3 linked regions of the Astyanax mexicanus genome follow. The protein of the gene in region 2 interacts with the protein of the main gene of each other region in a pairwise test. Links are inferred from orthologs where the notes say so. Each region holds a gene or a part of one and is shown on either strand. Other genes may lie near its edges. The genes, in order: gucd1, ngly1 and trafd1.

Region 1 (8,038 bases), on a different chromosome or scaffold from region 2:
AAACCGCATAACATTGGAGAAGGAAAATGTACTCACTTTTGTTGCCAGTGGTTTAGACATTAATGGCTGTGTGTTGAGTTATTTTGAGGACACAGATAAATTACACTATTATACATGCTGGACACTGACTACTTTACATTGAATCAAACTATAATTTTTTCAGTGCTGTTCAATTGAAAGGTATCATACAATATTTACAGCAATGTAAGGAGTGCACTCACTTTTGTGAGGTACTGTTTCTCAAATCAAGTCACAGACTTTTACAGTAATAAAATCTTGGCATTACACAAACTGCTTTTATATTTTATAATTAACTGACAATATGGCAAAACTGAGGTTTTAGAAGTACATTTCATGAACAAAGTATTGGGACATTTTTTCTTCTGAGTTCAAGCATATTAAAAAAAATGTATCCTGCCATTTTTGAGTAACTGTCTTTACTGCCCAGAGAAGACGTTCAACTAAAATGTAAAGCATTGAGGATTTAATGGCACTAATAAAAAAAGCATATGCAAGGTCAGGATGTTGGATCACCACCCTACCTCATTCCCAACTCGTAAAATTACTGGACAGAGAACCTTCATTTCAGAGAACACAGTTGCACTGTTCCACAGGGCCTGGTATTAGGCATGGTGCAAACAGGCTAATGTTTACTGATCTGCTCCAGAGAGTCATATTCTCTTGGCTGTACTTTTGTAAAAGGGCCAATGATTTAAATTGTAGCAAGAACCTGCTTCATTTTGATGTTGTATGTGCTCTACTATGAAATATGCCACACAAATCATATTTTTTTATATATGAAATCAGCTAAGGACCTTAAACCTTTTTTAAGTACAAGATCAGTTCTGGTTCTAGATAAATCTATCAAAATCCTCCAGGAAACTCCATACATTATATATAACTCCATATGTTATATATGTGTTAGAATGGCAAATGTATAAGGTATATACTTTTGCAAGCCACTGTAAATAAGCCTTTTTTATCCTTATAGAACCTTAGCTTCATATAATTTTTTTTTCGGTAGACAAAACTTTTCAGGCATTTCAACATATTATATATATATATATATATATATATATATATATATATATATATATATATATATATATATATATATATATATATGTTTATATGTATTTATATCTGCATCTGACAGAGTTTAAAGGATGGAAGCTTTTTGTGTAAACCAACCCATTATTCATGTGAGAAGAATGATTGGAACAGATAAGCTTAAAGTAAATTAAAGTGCATCTGGCCTTCTTATTCTTCAGGTTAATAGTGGTTTTCATCTGCTGGTGAAGCCACTGTACTTTTATTCATTAAAATATTTTCATGAAAATGCCTTTTCTTTATTACTTTTCAAATGGTTGCTATGGCCAATATTTGGTCAATGGCTCTGATCTTTACCATAGACAGCTCTCTGGTTTTCATACTGGTTACTTATATATATGATATAAATGCACAGTCTGCGAAGATAAAACCCAAATCTGTACAGACATTCAGCACTATTTATTGTTTGAAAAATGTATGTATCAGGAGACACCTTGGCAACAAAACACACTTGCCAATCTCATGTTTTTCATGTACTTTTGCTCACAACAAATATGGGTGGGTTCAGACAGAAGGTGCTATCCTCTGAGCTATGTATCTGATCCCAGACAAATGTTTTCAGTCTACAGCAAATATAAAAGAAATTAGCTCTCAATATCTTGGGAAATGATTGTATGTGCAATGCAACACAAAAGAGTGTTACGACATTTTAAAGTATGAGATCAGTTTGAGCCAGACTAACTATTTATAGTTGGAAGTATATTTATTTATATTAATATATTATTTAGTTTATATTACTTTCCACATTTCCTTACATTTTCCCGTTATTCTGAATCAGCAGCTCAGCCGGAGAAACATATGCCTCGAATGAAAACCAAAGTAATTGCGATGTGAGATTAAAAAAAAAAAAAAGAAAAAAAAAAAAAGAAAAAGTGATTCTGTACTTACTTTAAAACCATCCGAGAACATGCCAGTCCGCAATCCCAGTGATAGAGCTGTCGAATTATTGGTACGTTCAATAAAACGACATCATCTACAAAATAGTTCGCAGGTTAAGATAACAAGGACATCTGTCGTTGGACTTTAATGGCAAAATCAAGAAAATTAACTAGCTAGTTAGATTAACCAGGTAAATATCCATCTGCTAAGTGAATGTGAAGCAGATACCCTGAACATCTAATCACAATCTGAGGCATGGCAAAGTATCACTTAAACAAGACATTCAAAGAACCTATGTAGAAAGCTAGCTTAACGAAGGTTAGTAAAGCTACCCTAAAAACAAAACTTTTAGCATAGCTTACCTGTCATGATGTATTGAGCTAGTTAATGTTACTTTCCCATTAACATTTATCCAGCGCAGTTCTTCATTCTACGGTTTAACGTATGTTTTAATAAGCAGATCCCCGGCTTCACCCGCACAAACAGCCCTAGCTCAGCTCGCTGGGTTAGAGCCAGTACACTACTTATTACCCTGGTTAACTACTATTAACTTTAAAGTCTACCTTTAGTTCAGCGCGCTGTTCTGTCCTTCTGAAAGCGTTATGAGAGTAGAGCCGAATAGCACTAATAACCAGTAACACTAGTATTACCCAGCAGTAATAACGAGTAACACTAGTATTACCCAGCCCTAATAAACAGTAAAACTAATATTGCCCTGCACTTATGGCCAGTAACACTAATATTACCTTGATTTTATAACCATTAATATCTAATATTACTTTGTGTGCTACTGTTTTTAACCGATGCACAATCCTATATGCCCGTCCTGGTTCCCCATCGCAAGGCCCCTCGGGCTGCTTTGGTGACGCCTGTTCAAAAAACACTAGTACTACTTGCCAAGCCGGTCCATAAGTCTAGCCTCTCGCTGCATTCAAGAGTGGTTGGCGTCCAACTCCGGCCACATTATTGGTTGGAGCGTAAATCCAAAATCGCCGCCATATTGGTTGGGTCTCCACTCAATTCTAGCACCAGAGCACACGCAACAGAGTATATATTATACATATATCAGTTAGATATATTTATAACATGTTTCCTATTAATGTTCCAGTGAGCGTCCTGTATCATAACTACATATCTGCCGTTTGTAACAAACCAAACAAAGTTGTGATTATTATAGTTGTATTATACACCTTCCTCAGTACAAATAAATTCACTTAGGGTACACGGGAGACCCATCTAAAATGGCGGCCGTGCTGAAAAATCAGCTCCAATAGGCGGTGTCTGTCTATATCTATGTCTCAATTCAGGGGCTGCATTCTTCGAAGGACGCAGTCTACGAAGGTGTGTCCTTCGATGTGTAGGCTGCGATGGCAGTACTGAAATGGGACAGTCCAGAGCCGTAGAAAGCCGTAAAAATATCTCTATAGTATTTCCTGTTTCCTGTTTGAGATTCTACCCGCCACAACCAAAGTAAGAGCTGAGAAATGAGCCAGTTACTTAAATATTTTAAATGTGAACGGGTGGAACTGAACATAAACAAATAAAAGGGCGTTTGAAATGAAGTTGGAAAAAAGAGCATAAATTAGAATAAAGTATTATGTTATATTATTTATTATATATATTATATATTATATAGTATTATGTATTTTTATATATATATATAAATATATATAAATACTATATATATTATTTAGTTTATGTAAATAAATATATAAGTATTTATATATCTATAACTATTAACATATAACAACATAAACATGATACTACATATATAAACTAAATAATACTATATATATATATATATATATATATATATATATATATATATATATATATATAAACTAAATAATATAAATGATATAATATATAAATAATATTTATAATATCTATAAGTATTTATATATCTATAAACTACATAATACTACATATCCTACATAATACAGCCGACTCAGTTGAATCCGCCCTTTTCGTGCTGAAATAACCCACTAAACATTAGACGTCTTATGGACGTGCAGATCATGTCTATATTGCGTCGGTCGGTCCAAGACCAATTCTGTACGTCTACAAGACGTGCAAACTAGGTCCGCTATTTGGACGTCTAACTATGACCCCACTTGGACGTCAATATGCAGTTAAACATTTGAACGTCGGACTAGGTCACTTTTTTGGACGTCATGGGGACGTCTAATACAGGTGCAGGAAATTAACATTATTTAAGAATATATTTATTTTTAAATGTATGTCAAAATTGTTGTTATCAATATTGTTAATCACTATGAATATAGATTATTTATGATTAAGCATCATTTATTTCTAATTATTTATTTGAGTATTATATTTTTTATCTATTTAATTAATTAACGAATGTAGGTATTTATTTACGTATGTTTTTATTTTTATTTGGAAATGCAATTTATGTGGAAAATTGTTAAGTTGATTTCAACCAGTCAACGCCACTCTGATTTGCTGAGACCGCACGTCATCATAAACTCCACTCTGATATGCCGAGGCAAAACACGCTAAACATTTTTTACCGCGGTCACGCCATCTGCACTTAGAAAACGCTCGGTCGCGCTATCTACACCGAAAACTGAAGTGCGCGTCTAAACCGTGTTTTACTGTAGCAGCGTGCACAGCGCACCCGGAGGAGCGGAGACTGGCGCTTCTCGTGCAGAGACTTAAAATGGAACAGAAACTAGTTTTACACCTAAATAAAAATGATTTAACGAGATCTAATCCACAAATATACACCAGAAAGACCACTTCTTATCTGTAGAACAGTGTAACGTTTTGAAAAGGTTTGGAGTGTTATTAAATAAGTAATTGTTATAAAATCACATCCCTAAATTCTTAAAGATCTTATTCTCATGTATCCCAGATATATGTTTGAAGTGATATTACTGTATCATTTTTGAGTAATTGAATACCAAAACTATCTATTTCGGAGTGCTATAAATCTAAAAGAAAATCTAATTCTTCTTAAATCAGAACATGAAATCCTTAAAGAATACCTTCCATACTATTTATGTCATGCATGTATACTGATTGTACAGTATCATTTTGGAGTAAATGAATACCAAACTTAGGAAAAATGTATATTCGGTTTTGCATAAACCAGATTTCGGTGTCCTATAAAACCTTCAAATCAAATTGTTATCCAATGAAACCAAGAAAGTCTTGAAGAAAACATTCCATTCTATTAATGACATGAGTAACAAGTGATATTACTGTATCATTCTGGAGTAATTGAATACCAAACATAGGAAAAATGTCTATTCGGTTGTGCATAAACCACATTTCAGAGTCCTATAAAACCAGCAAATCAAATTGTTATCCAATGGCACTAACAAAGGCTTGGAAAACACATTCTATACTATTAATATATACATATATATCAAGTGATTTTACTCTACCATTTTGGAGTAATTAAATATCAAACATACAAAAAGTGTTAATTCACTTTTGCATAAATCAGATTTCAGAGTCCTATAAAACAAGCAAATCAAATTGTTATCCAATGCCACTAAGACATTCTTGAAGAACACATTCCATACTATTAATGACATGAGTAACAAATGATATTACTGTATCATTTTGGAGTAATTGAATACGAAGCTTAGGAAAAATGTCTATTTGGTTGCGCAAAAACCTGATTTTGGAGTCCTGTAAAACCAGCAAATTAAATTGTTATCAAATGCTACCGAGACTGTCTTGAAGAACACATTCCATTCTATTATTGACATGAGTAATAAGTGATATTACTGTATAATTTTGGATTAATTGGATACCAAACTTAGAAAAATGTCTATTCAGTTGTGTATAAACCAGATTTTAAGGTCGCATAAAACCAGCAAATCAAATTGTTATCCAATGCCACCAAGACAGTCTTGAAAAACACATTCCATACTATAAATGACATGAGTAACAAGTGATTTTACTGTACCATTTTGGAGTAATTAAATATCAAACATACGAAAAATGTTGATTCACTTTTGCATAAACCAGATTTCAGAGTCCTACAAACCATTAAAACAAATTGTTATCCAATGCCACTGATAAAGTCTTGAAAAGCACATTCTATACTATTATTGACATGAGTATCAAGTGATTTTACTGTATCATTTTGAAATAATTGGATACCAAACTTGGAAAAAATGTCTATTCGGTTGTGCATTAACCACATTTCAGAGTCCTATAAAACCAGCAAATCAAATCGTTATCCAATGGCACTAACAAAGTCTTGAAGAACACATTCTATACTATTATTGACATGAGTATCAAGTGATTTTACTGTATCATTTTGGAGTAATTGGATACCAAACTTAGGAAAAATTTCTGTTCGGTTGTGCATAAACCAGATTTTAAGGTCCCACAAAACCAGCAAATTAGATTGTTATCCAATGCCACCAAGACAGTCTTGAAGAACACATTGCAAACTATTAATGACATGAGTAACAAATGATATTACTGTATCATTCTGGAGTAATTGGATACCAAGCTTAGGAAAAATGTCTATTCAGTTGTGAAAAAACCTGATTTCAGAGTCCTATAAAACCAGCAAATCAAATTGTTATCCAATGGCACTAACAAAGGCTTGGAAAACACATTCTATACTATTAACAACATATATATCAAGTGATTTTACTGTACCATTTTGGAGTAATTAAATATCAAACATACAAAAAGTGTTAATTCACTTTTGCATAAATCAGATTTCAGAGTCCTATAAAACAAGCAAATCAAATTGTTATCCAATGCCACTAAGACATTCTAGAAGAACACATTCCATACTATTAATGACATGAGTAACAAATGATGTTACTGTATCATTTTGGAGTAATTGAATACGAAGCTTAGGAAAAATGTCTATTTGGTTGCGCAAAAACCTGATTTTGGAGTCCTGTAAAACCAGCAAATTAAATTGTTATCAAATGCTACCAAGACTGTCTTGAAGAACACATTCCATTCTATTATTGACATGAGTAATAAGTGATATTACTGTATAATTTCGGATTAATTGGATACCAAACATACGAAAAATGTTGATTCACTTTTGCATAAACCAGATTTCAGAGTCCTACAAACCATTAAAACAAATTGTTATCCAATGCCACTGATAAAGTCTTGAAAAGCACATTCTATACTATTATTGACATGAGTATCAAGTGATTTTACTGTATCATTTTGAAATAATTGGATACCAAACTTGGAAAAAATGTCTATTCGGTTGTGCATAAACCAGATTTTAAGGTCCCATAAAACCAGCAAATTAAATTGTTATCCAATGCCACCAAGACAGTCTTGAAGAACACATTGCAAACTATTAATGACATGAGTAACAAGTGATTTTACTGTACCATTTTGGAGTAATTAAATATCAAACATACGAAAAATGTTGATTCACTTTTGCATAAACCAGATTTCAGTCCTACAAACCATTAAAACAAATTGTTATCCAATGCCACTGATAAAGTCTTGAAAAGCACATTCTATACTATTACTGACATGAGTATCAAGTGATTTTACTGTATCATTTTGAAATAATTGGATACCAAACTTGGAAAAAATGTCTATTCGGTTGTGCATAAACCACATTTCAGAGTCCTACAAAACCAGCAAATCAAATCGTTATCCAATGGCACTAACAAAGTCTTGAAGAACACATTCTATACTATTATTGACATGAGTATCAAGTGATTTTACTGTATCATTTTGGAGTAATTGGATACCAAACTTAGGAAAAATTTCTGTTCGGTTGTGCATAAACCAGATTTTAAGGTCCCATAAAACCAGCAAATTAAATTGTTATCCAATGCCACCAAGACAGTCTTGAAGAACACATTGCAAACTATTAATGACATGAGTAACAAATGATATTACTGTATCATTCTGGAGTAATTGGATACCAAGCTTAGGAAAAATGTCTATTCAGTTGTGAAAAAACCTGATTTCAGAGTCCTATAAAACCAGCAAATTAAATTGTTATCCAATGCCACCAAGACAGTCTTGAAGAACACATTCTATACTATCAATGACTTGAGTAACAAAT
Region 2 (7,239 bases):
AAAAAACAGATACCTCCTCAAAGCCCATTTCAAACAGGCATTCGACTGCTCCATTTATAGGGAGAAGTTTGGTGGAGAAGGTTGGGTTTCCTAAACGGATTGATCTGTATTTTTCCTCATTCGGATTCCTGAGGATAGATAAACACATAATTATGAACTGAATATTAAACATAGAAAATTCTGGACCTTAAGAACAGTCATGCAGAATTCAATTCTAAACCGTAAACCAACTCCTACCAGCATGCCTAGTGAATTCCAGATTAATGATTAGTTTCCATGCAGTCCTGCTAGTAGAGGTGTGCCAAAAAATCGATTCACATAAGAATCTTGATTCTCATTTACTACGATTCAGAATCGATTTAAAATGTCCCAAAATCGATTCTAAGGTCCAATCCCATTTCTTCCCTTGGCCCTACCCCTCACGGTAAGTTCACACTGCAGCGGCACGAAGCGTTTTTCGCTCCGCCTCCCACTGCCCAAAGCGACCGTGGCCGCTGCAGTTTGAACTTACCGTCAGACCCACACAGAGCGTAGGTGTATGAGAATCACCGGTAAGATGGCAGAACAAGCACTATATTACCTTAGATTAACGTGTAGTTTTAATGTTTTATGGCAGAATGCTTCATAACAAGCATAAAAAAGATCGCTAGTAGTTAGTTTCAGTTTCTGTTAGCTAGCTAACTAGCTAACTTTCCAGTTCCACCTTAAATAACGCTACAGGTGGCAGCGGGCTGCAGCATTTAAGGCGGAACGGAAAAATAACAATAAGCTAATCAGAGCTAATTTCAGCTCCCCATCACAGAGGAATTAAGGAATGGACAATATGAATTAATTTCTCCACCTCCTGCCCCCTTTCTGAAGAAATACAACGGCCTAAAATTAACTAGTTAATCAGCAGCTGCTCCTGAACTTTAGCGCTCCACTGCTATCATCACATCAGCCCAGCAGCGTCACCTACACACCACCGCTAGTAGCCTTATAATAAAGCAGTGTTATTTATTATTTATTTATTGTTCATTAACGTCATTGTGATATCCCAGTGATTCCTCTGTCACTGAGGACCCACATTCCTGCACATTTTATTGTTTTTGTAACACATTACCTTCTCCAGGACCAGTGTATATTTTGGAGGCTTTTTTTTCAATAAGTTTTCAATAAATTTTTATAAATCAAATCGTTTTGAATCAAAAATCGATTTTGAATCGAATCGTGGCCCCCAAAATCGGAATCGAATCGAATCGTGAGATAGTAAAAGATTCCCACCCCTACCTGCTAGCTAATCCACATTTTGTTATTACCACAGATATACAATTACTGAGGATTAACAATTAAAAGAAAGCACAGCTAACATGATATTAAACATGTAGTGGACCACTCTGTGGTATACACTACTTTCCAACTTTATTATTACACAGTTGATGCATGTTGTAGGGTGTAAAAAATGTTTGTACTCGTCCACTGCCTAGAAAAATACCAGGTAAGTGGTGGTCCAATAATATTCAATTTTTTCATTGGACAAAAGGAACAAGGTAAAAGGAGGCTGATAATTCTGTCTGCGACAGTGAAATCAATAAATCAGTCAGCGTAAGTCAGTATTTTTATCGTCCTGCGTTCAGATAAAATCAACCGTGTTTAATAACATCGTAAGTCTTGAGACTCGGCTCATGCAAATAGTGACGAAAAGTGAGCAATGTGAACAACTAATAGAAGAAGAGCTATAGGAAACTGCATGGCAAGAATATTTTTATGTGACTGTGTTTACAAACGATTTTAAGAAAGAACACATTTTGCAGTTAATATGCCTTATACGGTTCTATCTTTAATATGTAGAGTATTTTAAACACAGGTAGCACTTTAAAGTTATTGTATTTAAAGGTATTTCATTGTGCATGACTTATAATGTCTTATTGTGCAGTGTTGATTTTGACACAAACCAGTTTCATAAATACATATAATAAAATTTGGCAAGACTGATGTTCTTTATTGCATTAATTCTATATAAAACAAAAGTAAATGTACAGCAGTAAAACTGATTCTTTGTTTTACAAGGTTGTAGCAAAAAAAGCGGGTAAAAAAAAGCTTTTATTTTGAACACAAAATGTATTCTATTAAAAATATTAAGTACAAACATTATGGCAAAAAACTGTTAATGGGGTCTTTGATTATAAATTCAATAATATAATATGTGATATTTATTTTATGTAAACTCCACCAGAAGCATGATGGGAAATAATCTCAGAAAGAATCCAGATCCAGTCTTGCAAATAGTGATTCTGCAAGATTTCCAGTCTTTATAAAATCTTATTCTGTGAGTAAAAAGTCTGTGATTGTCTTTAGTTGTGAGAAGACATCAAAATCTAGTCTTTTTAAAGTCTGTTTAAAGTGGTGTAGAGTTTGGACAGCATAAGGATGATGCAGCATTAGCTAGATAATTTAGCTAGAATGATAAGACAGTTTTTTATTCGCAAAAATCTCCGTTTATTTCAGGTTTAGAACTTCATGAACTACAAAGACTTTTTCACCCACAGGTTTTCAGGTTTAATAAGCTTTAATAAGGCAGTGTGTTCGACTAGAAATACAGTTTTAGATAAAATAAACAGTTTAGCTCCAAAGGAAAAGCTGCTAAGCTAATCTAGCTAACGTTATTTAGTTAGCTTTAGCTAAATATGAAGGTTAATCGGTTTTACCTGAGAATATTGTCCGCATAAGTTAACAGTAATTTCGACACATCCAGAAACACCTCGTTGGGATTTTCACACAGAGCAGAAATCCCCTGAAATCCAGACATTTTTCACACAGAAACTGTTTACACTCCTTTAGCCTGACGATATAAGATAAAAGTCACGGAAACGTGATTAATAACTCAACTAACGGTACTAAAAATGCCCTGAAAAAAAATACTAAACTCAACCGGCAACATTGACAAACTAATAAACCTCCACTGTTATATTTTACTGTGTTAAAAAAATCGACATATTTCTATGTAACGTTAACTGAGTTAGCGAACTGTGCGATAACGCTACGCTCTTCACAGCAGCCCAAACACTGACTCAGCCACAGATCCTCTACAGAGGAGACTAGCAGCTCACCGAGCGAGGTGATCAGTCTAACGTTTAGCAGTTTAGCAATTTTCTGACCGTATCAAACTAAATTCGAAAATAGAAAATGAAGGTATTAATATATAATCTACAAGTTTTATCAATTCTTATATTTGTTTAATTAATATAATTAATTATATTTTCCAAAATTAAGGAAAAGTCCTGAATAAGTAGTTAGTCACTATTTTTACCGCCAGAGGGCGCTCTCGAGTCAGAGCAAAAGTACTTTGCTTATATGGAGCAAAATAATAATAATAATATATTTTAAATGTTTAATCATTTTAATTGTGAAAAAATGTAACACTTTTCTCAACACAGAACAAGATCACATGTCTCAGCACCGCAGACATAATTTTCGAAAGCTTTTAAAGTCCAATTATAAGCCTTTAATCTTAAAGTGCCCTGGCTGTTTCTCCAAGCCTCTGCTTACTAACCAGTATTAGCGAACAGTTGCAGTAATGCAACACTATTACTAAACAAAACAAGAATAACTAGTTTATCATAGAAAGACTGATGTATTTACAAGTTTTCTTAGTTTTTGTTTAGCGAAATACTTTATTATACATTCCGAAATTAAAGACAAATCCTGGATAAGTAGTTACTCAGTATTACTATAACATTATTGGGACATATGGAGCAATTATGCAAAAAAAAGAGTCATGTTTGATAAATGTTTGATAATATTAAAAAATAAAAATTTAATAATTTCCTCAATAAACAACAATCACATATTTTAGTACCAAATGTACATATATTTGCCTCAGTGGCGGACTTAGCAATTTGGGGGCTCAAGGCGAATTTAGCTAGGGGGCCAATCAACATTAATATGCAAGAAATAGGGTTGTGCCGATGGATGATATCATCGTCCATCCTCATTTATGACCCAACATTGCGATGGATGGTAACCATCACGATGCCACGCCCACTGTTTTGTTTTTTCCAGAAACATGCACTGACCTTCTTTAGGTCTCCTTCACCTAAAACTTTAGCAGGGATTGTACAGAAAAAGATCAAATCAGGTATATAACTTAAATGAATTAGAGTCAGGGATGAAAAAATACCCAACTGCTACAAATATGCCTAATTGGCATATTATTCTATTATTTATTATTATTTATTATTATTCTATTATTATTTACATCTAGGTTACAGCTTGTCTTCTCTTAGTTTTTCTACATGTCTGTATTAATTTTAAACATTTCATGTCATTCATGCTGGTTTGTGCCAGGAAACTTGCTCATTGTCAGCCAGTGTTGGGCACGTTACTTTGAAAATAAATTATGTAAATTCTATTATTATTAGAAAAATAACAAACAAAAATAAACCCAAAATGTTGACAAAAATATAATCTAACGAATTTCAAAACATAGAAACGAAAACTTTAAAATGGTATTAATATAATATAATATAATATAACAACTGAATCAAAACAGTTTAGCGTCAGTCATAGCCTAAGGAACGCACGCGTCAGTCAAAAGGAAAGCGCGCGGCATTGCGATTTAAAAAAAAAAAAAACGTTTTAATAAATAAGGTCCTATCAAGTAAATTAAAATATATGGTATTAAAAGGTATTAAATTCACATGTTTATTGAAATGTAATCAAGAGAAATCAGGCAAAATGCGCTGAGCTGCTGCTGCTCTCTCTCCCCCTCCCTCCCTCCCTCCCTCCCGCAGCACAGAGCTAAATTCAGCGCGAGGCTAAAAATAATATAACAACTAAAATTAAGATGAGTGAGGACCTGTAAAGTAATAAAATATTGTCAAATATAAAGGATAGGTAGAGGTTTTGGTGAGCTGTTTCAATTATTTGAAACTGAAACTAACTGAAACTGATATTATTCTGTGCACTATTATATAGCTTTTGATTGTGTTTTAAATGATTTTTATTTTATATTAATTACTTTTTATTCATTTTAAATATTTTTAGTATTTTATTGATAAAAAAAGCTTATCAGTTTTGGAAGAGCATCTGTTTTTAGTTTAGCCTCTTCCTTCTTTTTTTCTTTTTGTAGCAAGTGGTGCTTCATGGCTTTGCTCAAAACCCACTTGTACACTTAATTTCACCTTAATTCCTCCTGTAGGTTCACGGCATGGCCACATGGCATGAATGGAATATTCCATTTTAACGTGAAAGAGGGGGGTGTGGACTGAACTGTATTTCTTTGTAATTTATTGTGTTGTCTTTGTTTCCATTTTAAACATACAAGAATCACCATTTCCGAACGCACTATCTGTGAATTACTGTCCAAAGGGCCCCAATTACCAGCTGTAGGCCTATGGGAAGTTTGCTGCTAGTCAGGGGGCCCCTACAGTGGGCTGCAGTGGGAGGGGCCCAAGGCAGTTGCATAGCAATGCCTTTATGCAAAGACCGCCTCTGATTTTCCTGTATCTCAAGCATCATTGCACCAACAAGTCAATCAGCTCACAGGAGCAGTGATGCTAGTGTCTTTACTGCCTAAAATCCGTTTACTTAAGAAAAACTAAAATATACAGGTAAGTTTTATTTGCTTTTTATGAAAAAAAAAAAACAACCATTATAATTTACTATGGTAAAAGAGTTTATGACCAAGTAGTTAGTCACTATTTTTAATTCGCTTTCTTAGCTTTTAGCTCCATTTAACCCCATACATTGAGCACTCCCTCGCGGGCTCCCTCTAGCGGCAGAGATAGGAAATTGGCAGTCTCTCCAAGAACCGGCTCTTGACTCAGATACTGCGGCTGCTTCAGAACTACGATGTCGTCAAAATAAAAGTCTTTTTTAAAACGCAATACATATATATTTGTTTTAATTATTATTATTTAACCATCGTTTAATAATTTATTTTATAGTAAATAAATATAGATTGGATCGAAACTTATTTTTTTATGCGTATTTTTTTAAACAAAATACTTTATTATACTTTTTGAAATTAAAGAAAACCCCGGGTAAGTAGTTTTTTACTATTTAAGTGAATTTTCGCGCATGATTCAGACCAAAATTATTGGATTCATATGGAGCAGTCAAACATTCAAACGTTTAATAATTTTCATAATGAAAAATGTACTAACTTCCTCAACACAGAATAATCGCATATTTTAGTACTTAATATATATAGTTTTTTGTAACCTTTAAAACTGTACCCAGGCATCTTTCTTTTCCCATTTTTCTTTTTCCATAATATATATATATATATATATACGGAAAGGGGGATACTAAAAAGAAAGAAAAGCCTGGGAAAAAAATATGAATGAATGACTTCATCACTCAAGTTTTAACACGATTTCAATCACAGGGGTGCGTTCACTATTCAGGTTTTGACGTGTTCAACAGCCGAGATATATTCTTAACAAATAGATAATTATTTAATTTCACACATTATTAGAAGATTATTTAATTTGCGAATATTAAAATGAATTTTCTGCAGAATACTGTGAGTTTTCGCTGATCCCGATACTGTATTTCAGGTAATCAGTGTGTGAGGAGAATCAGGTGTTTTGTGAACGCGCTAAAACGAGCTTTTTTCCCTGTACTATCGGCGGGAAACTCGGCGCTGCTCGTGCTGTTTTCTCTGTGTAAGAGTATTTTGGTGAGTTAAAGCTGTTTATCTCGTTTTATTTCAGTTTACCTCGCTGGTTTATGTTTTATCAGTTGGGGAACCAACATATTTCCCACACTGAGTGTAAATATATGATTATTTTCAGGGTTTAATCTGAATATTTCCGCAGCTCGGTTCTCCTGATGGCGGAGAAGCCCATGTGGGAGCAGATCGGCACGGGCTTCGTGCAGCATTATTACCAGCAGTTTGATTCAGACCGGGGGAAACTCGCAGATCTGTATGTAAGTGAAGTTTAAATATATAAAAACTCTAAATCTGTAGAAAAAGGGTCTAATCTCGCCCTGTGGGCGGATTTAACAGTGTTTAGGAGCTGCTGTGGGAGATAAACTAGCTATAATTAACGTTATTCTGTTCAGTCCTTCAGTCATTCCACATTTTATTAAAATAATTATTAATTTTCTGAGGTAACACATATATATCATTTTTATATTTGCTATATAAACCCCTGTGTTTCCACCACTGGTTATACCTCATTGACTGAATTATGCAAAAAAAAACTTCTTTTTTTTATGAATGAAGTAACGTTAATCAGTGAAATTCTTTGT
Region 3 (7,902 bases), on a different chromosome or scaffold from region 2:
ACAACAAAAACATGGATAAATACAGGCCAGCTTCTCCTTTTTTTGTGTCAAGTAGAACACTTGTCTCAATGCTGATCACTGAATGATTAACTGTGCACAAAGAGTGGAATGTTATTATTACAACATGTCGGATTGTTGACCTCTGATGAAATTAGGTGATTTTTTTTTATAGCAATGTCAGTTTTCTGTCTACCGTGCTGCTCTAACAAGAACAGAACTGATTTGTCTGACTTGTAGGACTTGTTTTTAAAACAAAAAAAAGTATTGATGTTATATATATTATATAGATGCTTTGTTAGCAAAAACCTTTCATTTATGAAAATGAACGCTAAAAATATCTTTGTTTATGAGTGCAAAATATTGCACTGTCAGGTTTTTATTTGTCTAATATCGTGCAGCCCTAGCTAGAACAATTGAGTTGTCTCAATACTTATCACAGAAACAGGGCTGCACAAAATATTGTTTTAGCACAATCATCATGATGTGCATGTCATGCTACAACTTTCTCTATATAAAAAGGGAAAATTTGCATTTTCTCTGACATATCACCCGTATTTACATTTACAATTCTTGGTGTAATATCAATTGTCCTAGCTAAGGCTGCACAATCTTGGGGGAAAAAACTGACACTGCCATATTTTACACTTTTAACAGAAAAATAGAGAAAAAGACCTGTATAACATCAAATATGATGAAGAAAGACCTGTGTTATTAGCTGAGAATGGGCAAAATATACATCTGACAGTTTTAAAATATATATGCATTGCATTGTCAGTTTTTTTTACCCAATATTGTGCAGCCCTAGCAAGAACCAGTATTTAAGAATGATGAAGGTAGACACAGTAGATACACATTGTGATGATGACAATGCTAAAACAATATATTTTTCAGCCCTAGTTCTGGCACAATACTGAGAGAACAAACTGAAATTTTGCAACATTTAGCAATATAAAAAATAGAGAGATAAAGATATTTTAACTGTCAAATTCATATTGTGCTAACCAAAACAACTGTTTAACATGATGAGTAATGAAGAATGACCTGTGGTGGGTATAGCGACAAATCAATTGTTCTACCGATATTTAACACTCATAAAAACAGATATTTTAGCTAGGGCTGCACAATGTTAGGGTTAGTTTGCACAGTTTTTAATGTCATTTTTTTAACTAGCCCTAACACACTGTGATGATAACGATGCTAAAGCGATTGTGCAGCCCTTGTTCTGTGATGAGGATTGTTTTGGTTGGGGCTGCATAACCAGTATTAGACCAAAAACTGCAAAAACTGACATTGCTATTTTTTTATATTGTTTTTTTTTTTTGCATTAATAAAATTTTTAAAATATGAAGCAATGAAAAAAGATATATAATTTTCAGGAACTGAAAGGAACTGATAGGATGTATATTGTGCAGCCCTTGTTCTGTGGTGAGGATTGTTTTGGTTGGGGCTGCACAAAGAGTATTAAATCAAAAACTGCAAAAACTGACATTGCAACATTTTTATATATTTTGCATTAAAACAAAATGTTAATAAAATTAACAAACATTAATAAAAGTGATAAATTTTAAGGAACTGTAAGATTGATAGGATGCAAAATGGACAAAAACAACAGTAGTAAAACATCAATAATGATGAAAAAAAGGATGTGTGGTAAGTATTAAGACACAATATGAATCTGACACAATTTCTGTGTTTTTAATGATTGCAACACAATATTCCTAACACAATTATAATGATGATGACAATGATAAAGTGATATATATACTGTGCAGTCCTAGTTCTGTGGATTGTTTTGGTTGGGGCTGCACAAAAAAAACTGACATTGCAAAATCCTGTTATTTTTTTTTTTTTTTGCATTAATAAAAAAAAAGGTAAAAAAAAAATAGTAAAAATATGAAGCACTAAATAATTTTCAGGAACTGTCAGATGCAAAATGGACAAAAACAACAGTAGTAAAACATCAATAATGATGCAAAAACTGACATTGCAATTTATTTATTTATTTATTTATTTTTGCATTTTTTGGAATTAATAAAACAAAAAAATGTTAATACAAATAAAAAACATTAACAAAAGTGATTAATTTTAAGGAACTGTCAGATTGATAGGATGCAAAATGGACAAAAACAACAGTAGTAGAACATCAATGATAATGATAATGATGAAGAAAGATGTGTGGTAGGTGTTGAGAAACAATACAAATCTGTCAGTGTATACTTTCTGTGTTTTTATGAGGGTTAAATATCGCTAGAACAATTGATTTGTCTCAATACCTACTACCACAGATCTAATCTGGCTGGCAACAGAGCACAATATAGCTCAGCCAGCTGGCCAGCTACACCCCAACACACTCTATTGTTTGTCTTGTAGCTGACAGACAGCAGTTCCAGTGCTAATATCAGCACAGAAACTAGTTTGTGAGGAGAATGAGAGGGAAATTTCATTATTAAAGGTTATTATATTTATTCTAGTCTTCTTTTGTTGTTGTGTTTAATGTGAGGCAGGGCCAGGCTGTGTGTATCCAGGCTTGATAGATAAGCTAAGCTAGATAACTAAGCTATAACGCTATTAGCCAGCGCTAACCCAGGCTATAGTTATAGTAAATCCCACACACTGGCTGGAGCTTACCTCACGGTCTTGTTAAAACAATAGGAACAGAAGCGGTGTCCGCACTGCGCCTGAAACGGCCTCCTGAGGATCTTCTGGCAGATGTTGCACAAATGCTTGTCCTCAAGCTTGTTGGCGAGGATTTTCCTCGGGAAGCCAGGTTTGTTTCCTTCTAGTGAAGATGGTGGGGACGGTTCCTGTGCAGCCATTATTCCCAAACGAGCATGTGACCTGGCTATGGAGAGAAACGAAAGCAGAAAATCAGCTCGTTTTTCAGCCTAAAACCATTAAACCAAAGCTTTCCCAGCACGACCAAACCATTAGCCATCTTACAAGCCTGCTGGAGAGCTCGCTGGTTCGTGCTGTCATGCTTGGGACGAGGCTAAAGCTGAAGAAGTTGAAGCTGAAGCTGCTTTGCTCGCCAGCTTGTTAGTTCTATGGATTTTGGTCCGGTCCACCTTAAACGCTGCCATTAGCTCTAACGGGGGCCACCGTTACTGGCGACGCTTTGTTCACGGCGAGATTTAAGGTGGACCGGAGAATTTGAAAATAACAAGCCTCCAGCTTCAGTTTCGTCATGGTTGGTTAAATACATTCAGTAGACAACAAAATACGTTTAATAAATGTTTTCTACACTGTGTTTGTGTCACGTAGCTAACCCTGGTTCAAAAAGAAAAAAAGTAAGAATCCATCCCAGGTTTTTTATTGTTTAAACTGCCCGAGCGACTCTGCTAATATGCTTTAGGTAGAGGTGAGTAATAATCCAGGTCCATAAATTAAAAATCCATACCAGCATTGCATTTCAACTACATCGGCGGCTATGTTACTGTGTTTTAACCCGGGTCCGGAAAGTAAAATTCCATCCCAGGATTTTTGTTCAAACGTTGTAGCTATGAGAGGTGTGTAATCCAGGTCCAGGTTTATGTTTTATAGTCATATGGTATTTATATATATTTTACACACAGCAGTTGGGTAAAAAGGCTGCGCATAGTAGGGTTACAGCGTAGTACTATTTTTTTAATATAGTAGTTTTTATTTTTAATAAATATACTCCCTTCATAATTGATACATACACAAACATTAAAGTCAAAATAAAATGACTTCCATGAGATTTTCAGTGATTTTTATATTTTACACTTTTTCCTCAACTGAAATACAAGGATGTTAATTTATGTTTTCACCGTGTATAATATATAAGCTTCTTGTAAGGTTGAAAAAGACTGCTTACTATTCGTAAAAAGGGTAATAATATTCCGAAATTAATTTAAAAAAGGAAACAATATTGTTTACTCTTGAGTTTTTAGCCTGCATTTTTATTCTGCATTTTAGTCAGCAAAATGGCTAAGCTTTTAAGTGGCTGTTAATTATTATTATTTTTTTTTTAATCAATATAAAAAATGAATTTGGGTTACGGTTTCTGGTTGCATCTACTGCTCAGCTGTATGACAAGTAATCCCCTTGAACCATTTCTCATTTGTTCATTGCTCATTAAATAGCCAAAACAACCGTCATATGTTTTTTGTGTTTGTTAAAAAAATGAAGAAAAAAAGTATTTTACGAGGTTGACTATATTGATCCTTTGCCTGTCCTTTTATTTTCATTATTTTCTTTTAATATTCTTCGTATTTATTTATTCATTTACTATTTTTACAGTTTGTCAGCTGATCAGTTTATCATAATTACTGTAAAGATTATTGTTTTTCTAAAAAACAGTTCATATTCCTGAATAAAATAAAAAAAATAAAAGTCTTTGTCTTCATATAACATTTTGTACCATATCATTCAGCTCTATCAGTGCTTAATTACATACATAATTAAAAACACACTTCAGATTTTATTTTCCTTTTCATATTTGTATGTATTTATTGATTTACATATTTTTATTTGCACAAATGTTTTTTATTTGTTCTTATCGACTGGTCAATATTATTTAGATATCTATGGTTGTGAAACAGTTTGTCGGCTGCTCAGTTTATTATAGTTACTGTAATGATAATTGTTTTTCTAAAACTTTTTCATATTCCTGAATATAATAAATGAATAAATAAAAAGTTGTAATTTTAATTAACATTTTTACCATATCACTCAGCTCTATCAGTGCTTATTTACATATGTAATTAAATACATACTTTTAATATTGGTATGTATTTATTCTTTTTTTATTGTGTATGTGGTGTTTATTTGATCTTATACTGTATCTGTAGTTGTAAAACAGTGCTCAGTAGCTCAGTGTATCATAGTATATATATAATAAAAACTGCTTTAATTTATGCACCAGCAGTGTGTAAGACTGGTGGAGGAGAACATGCCAAGATGCATTAAAACTGTAATAAAAAAAACATGGTTATTTCTGAACTCTTAAAACTTTATAATTAAAAAATTGTTTTCTTTGCATTATTTAAAGTCTGAAATCTAAATCTTTTTTATTTCAGCCATTGTTCCATTGTTCAGCCATGTTCATTTACTCAAACATAAACCTATAAATAGCAAAATCAGGGAAACTGAAGTGGTCTCTATTTTTTTTTCTAGCTGAGAGCCTGATATAAAGTGGGACTTTTATTTTGAAATTAGCGAGGGAAGAGGCGGAAGAAGAGTGTGGGCTTCCTCCTCCGACACTGTTTCTAGTTTCTCGTTACCGAAAGCAAAACTCTGAACTGTGGGCTGTTTTTATAATGAATCAGTAATTTAATAAGAGCAGCGCGGCGGATTAACGCTGAGCGCGGTGTGTACTGAGGTCTGGCTGTACTGCCGCCGGTCAGACAGCTTTGTTTTAAGGTATTATCCGCTGTGTTTATCGGTGTTCAGTCATGATCGGCGTTAACGGGAGATAAATCTGCTTAACGCCCCGAAACTGCAGAGCTGAACTCTGATATATAACTAACTAAATAATCAATAAATCTGAAGCCTGAAGACGCTTTCTCCTTCAGATTAACACTGCCCGGACCCGCCGCTTCTCCTCTCCTCAGCGCTGAATAAGAAAAGGTAAGATACTGATACTGTTAATTATGGATGGAAACATTAGCCCGCCTGTCTCTGTCTTAGATAATTACTCTCATCTAACTGAGAGAGAGAGAGAAAGAGCTGCAGCTCAGGAAACACAACACCACACACACAACACATAAACACATACTACAAGAAAAACACACAACACTAACACATCACACATAGAAACTCAACACCACACACAGTACCACACACACTACACACAACACCACACATATTACATAAATAAAATGAATAAAAAAATGTTTTTTGTTATTTTTGTACTATTTTTTTTTATTATTTTCTGTGTTTTTTGTCTCTCTCTTATCCAGTGGTCAATTATTTAGGTACCTGTAGTTGTGAAACACACACACACACACACACACGACCACAAAACACTACATAAACACACACTATACATACATATACACACACGCACACAACACCACACCACACACAGCACCACACAAAGACACACAACACCACAAACACTGCAGCACACTCACACTAGGGGTGGGCGATATGGTCCTAAAATAATATCACGATATTTCATGGTATTTTTGCGATAATGAAACTCTTGACGATATGACATAACACTGATTTTTTTTCCCCAAGAATACACTACTGCACAATACTAATAATGCACTCCATGTATCTCCAAGACTACACATACACCACACACACTACATAAACACACACAGCACCATACAAATACAAAACACTATACATACACAACTGCAGTGTAATGTTAACATAATAGCTAGGATCATGCAGAGCCTGTAAATGTTTCCACACAGTTTCATTGCTACATTTTTTTGTCTCTAACCATCTTAGCTAAGTTTCACAATGCATTCCTTTTGCTAATTTAATTAACCATTATCTCATTATCTCTGTTTAGTAAGTCGTTCCCTCAGTGTAATGCATTATTTCAGTCTAATCAATTATTGTCTCAACTTGGTAAATTATTGCTTCATTGTAAATATACCGGTAAGTAATTCTTCTAGTTTTACTAATTCATCCCATTAATTTAATAAAGTGTCCCGTCAGTTTAATAAGTAACGTAATTTATTTAATAAATCATTGTTTTATTTGCAATGTTGTAAACTTTAATAAATAATTATCTTAATTTGATTGAGCTATTTTCTATTTTTGTTTTTTATCTTAAATTTGTATGTCTCTTAATATAATAATAATTCCCTTGTTTAATAAGTATGTCCTTCAGTTTGATGTAATTATTTTTGTTTAGGCTTTTCCTCAATTTGATAAGTCAGGTTGATAAGACAGTCAAAGTCAAGTCAAAGTGGTTTTTATTGTCATTTCAGCTATATACAGAGTACACAGTGAAACGAAACAACGTTCCTCCAAGGACCATGGTGCACATAAACACAGTGTAGACAGAACAATAGTGCAACAGTACAAAAGTGCAGACAGACAATACAACACAATACAAAAGACAGGTCTTTTCTGTAAGATAAAATAAATTGTCTTTACATTTTAGAAGGTTTGCTTTAGTTAAATTGTGGGAACAATGTTTTTAATTGAGCCAATTATTAATCAATGGAGTGTTTAAAATCTTGATACTCTAAAGACTCCTTTTGTTTTACAATGTAAATATTAATGGTAATTGTTTTTACTCACCAGAGAATGTGTAATACCTCTGAGACATGTCTTCTTTGGTCTCTTTGTTTGCACAGGTTATGTCTGAGGAAAGCACCCAGCTCTGCACCAACTGGTTAGTTTCATTTTCCTTTCTTTTGCTTCCACCCTTTGTTTTTCATTGGCTCTCCTTATGGAGAACAAACAGTTTTCAGGGAACAGACTGTATGAATCACTAAGTGCTTTAATAAAGGAAGGTTGTCTCAGGCATGTTCCAGTACTTACATTAAAGTGCTTACACAGTCCTTTCGTTATTCAGTTTTTAGGAATGCACTGATTTTTTAAAAATGATCTTTAAACCCATTGTTTTTTCTTTCCTGGTTCTCATTCTTTCCTCTCATTCAATTCCACAGCAAGCATGACATCCCAGAGGCCAACTTCACCACTCACGAGATCCACTGCCGACGGAACATCGCCCTGTGTGACGTGTGCCAAGAGCCGGTTCCCCGTGCTGAGCTGATGCAGCATAAAGAGCAGGAGCACTCACAGGTAATTCTAAAAAATAGGCCAGGCCCCATTTTACCCCTTGATACTAGCACTTAGCCTCTGTTTTGCATGTGCATGCCTAGGGGTAGGGTGAGGCAGTGAGTGAGTCAATGAGTCATAAGCCCTATCCGGATGGGATTAGTTTCTCAGAGGGTTCTGGGGTAATTTTCT

The links.
Region 1: the proteins of ngly1 (region 2) and gucd1 interact in binary tests that used the Homo sapiens proteins (3 or more experiments, as listed by UniProt). The two-hybrid records come from large-scale screens. The link is inferred for Astyanax mexicanus from reciprocal best matches to the Homo sapiens genes NGLY1 and GUCD1.
Region 3: the proteins of ngly1 (region 2) and trafd1 interact in binary tests that used the Homo sapiens proteins (3 or more experiments, as listed by UniProt). The two-hybrid records come from large-scale screens. The link is inferred for Astyanax mexicanus from reciprocal best matches to the Homo sapiens genes NGLY1 and TRAFD1.

Annotation. Positions count from the first base shown.
Region 1 is NC_064419.1:13,459,189-13,467,226, reverse strand, and holds the start of gucd1 (protein GUCD1), read right to left. Parts: upstream 3,012-8,038; 5' UTR 2,359-3,011; coding exon 2,352-2,358; intron 2,084-2,351; coding exon 1,999-2,083; intron 1-1,998.
Region 2 is NC_064410.1:736,461-743,699, forward strand, and holds the start of ngly1 (peptide-N(4)-(N-acetyl-beta-glucosaminyl)asparagine amidase), read right to left. Parts: upstream 3,053-7,239; 5' UTR 2,789-3,052; coding exon 2,688-2,788; intron 129-2,687; coding exon 14-128; intron 1-13. Other genes in the region: nutf2l (nuclear transport factor 2, like), read left to right, coding at 6,817-6,915. UniProt on the Homo sapiens protein: Specifically deglycosylates the denatured form of N-linked glycoproteins in the cytoplasm and assists their proteasome-mediated degradation. Cleaves the beta-aspartyl-glucosamine (GlcNAc) of the glycan and the amide side chain of Asn, converting Asn to Asp.
Region 3 is NC_064429.1:29,422,612-29,430,513, reverse strand, and holds the start of trafd1 (TRAF-type zinc finger domain-containing protein 1), read left to right. Parts: upstream 1-4,894; 5' UTR 4,895-5,589; intron 5,590-7,283; 5' UTR 7,284-7,286; coding exon 7,287-7,321; intron 7,322-7,598; coding exon 7,599-7,734; intron 7,735-7,902. Other genes in the region: traf2a (TNF receptor-associated factor 2), read right to left, coding at 2,629-2,816. UniProt on the Homo sapiens protein: Negative feedback regulator that controls excessive innate immune responses. Regulates both Toll-like receptor 4 (TLR4) and DDX58/RIG1-like helicases (RLH) pathways.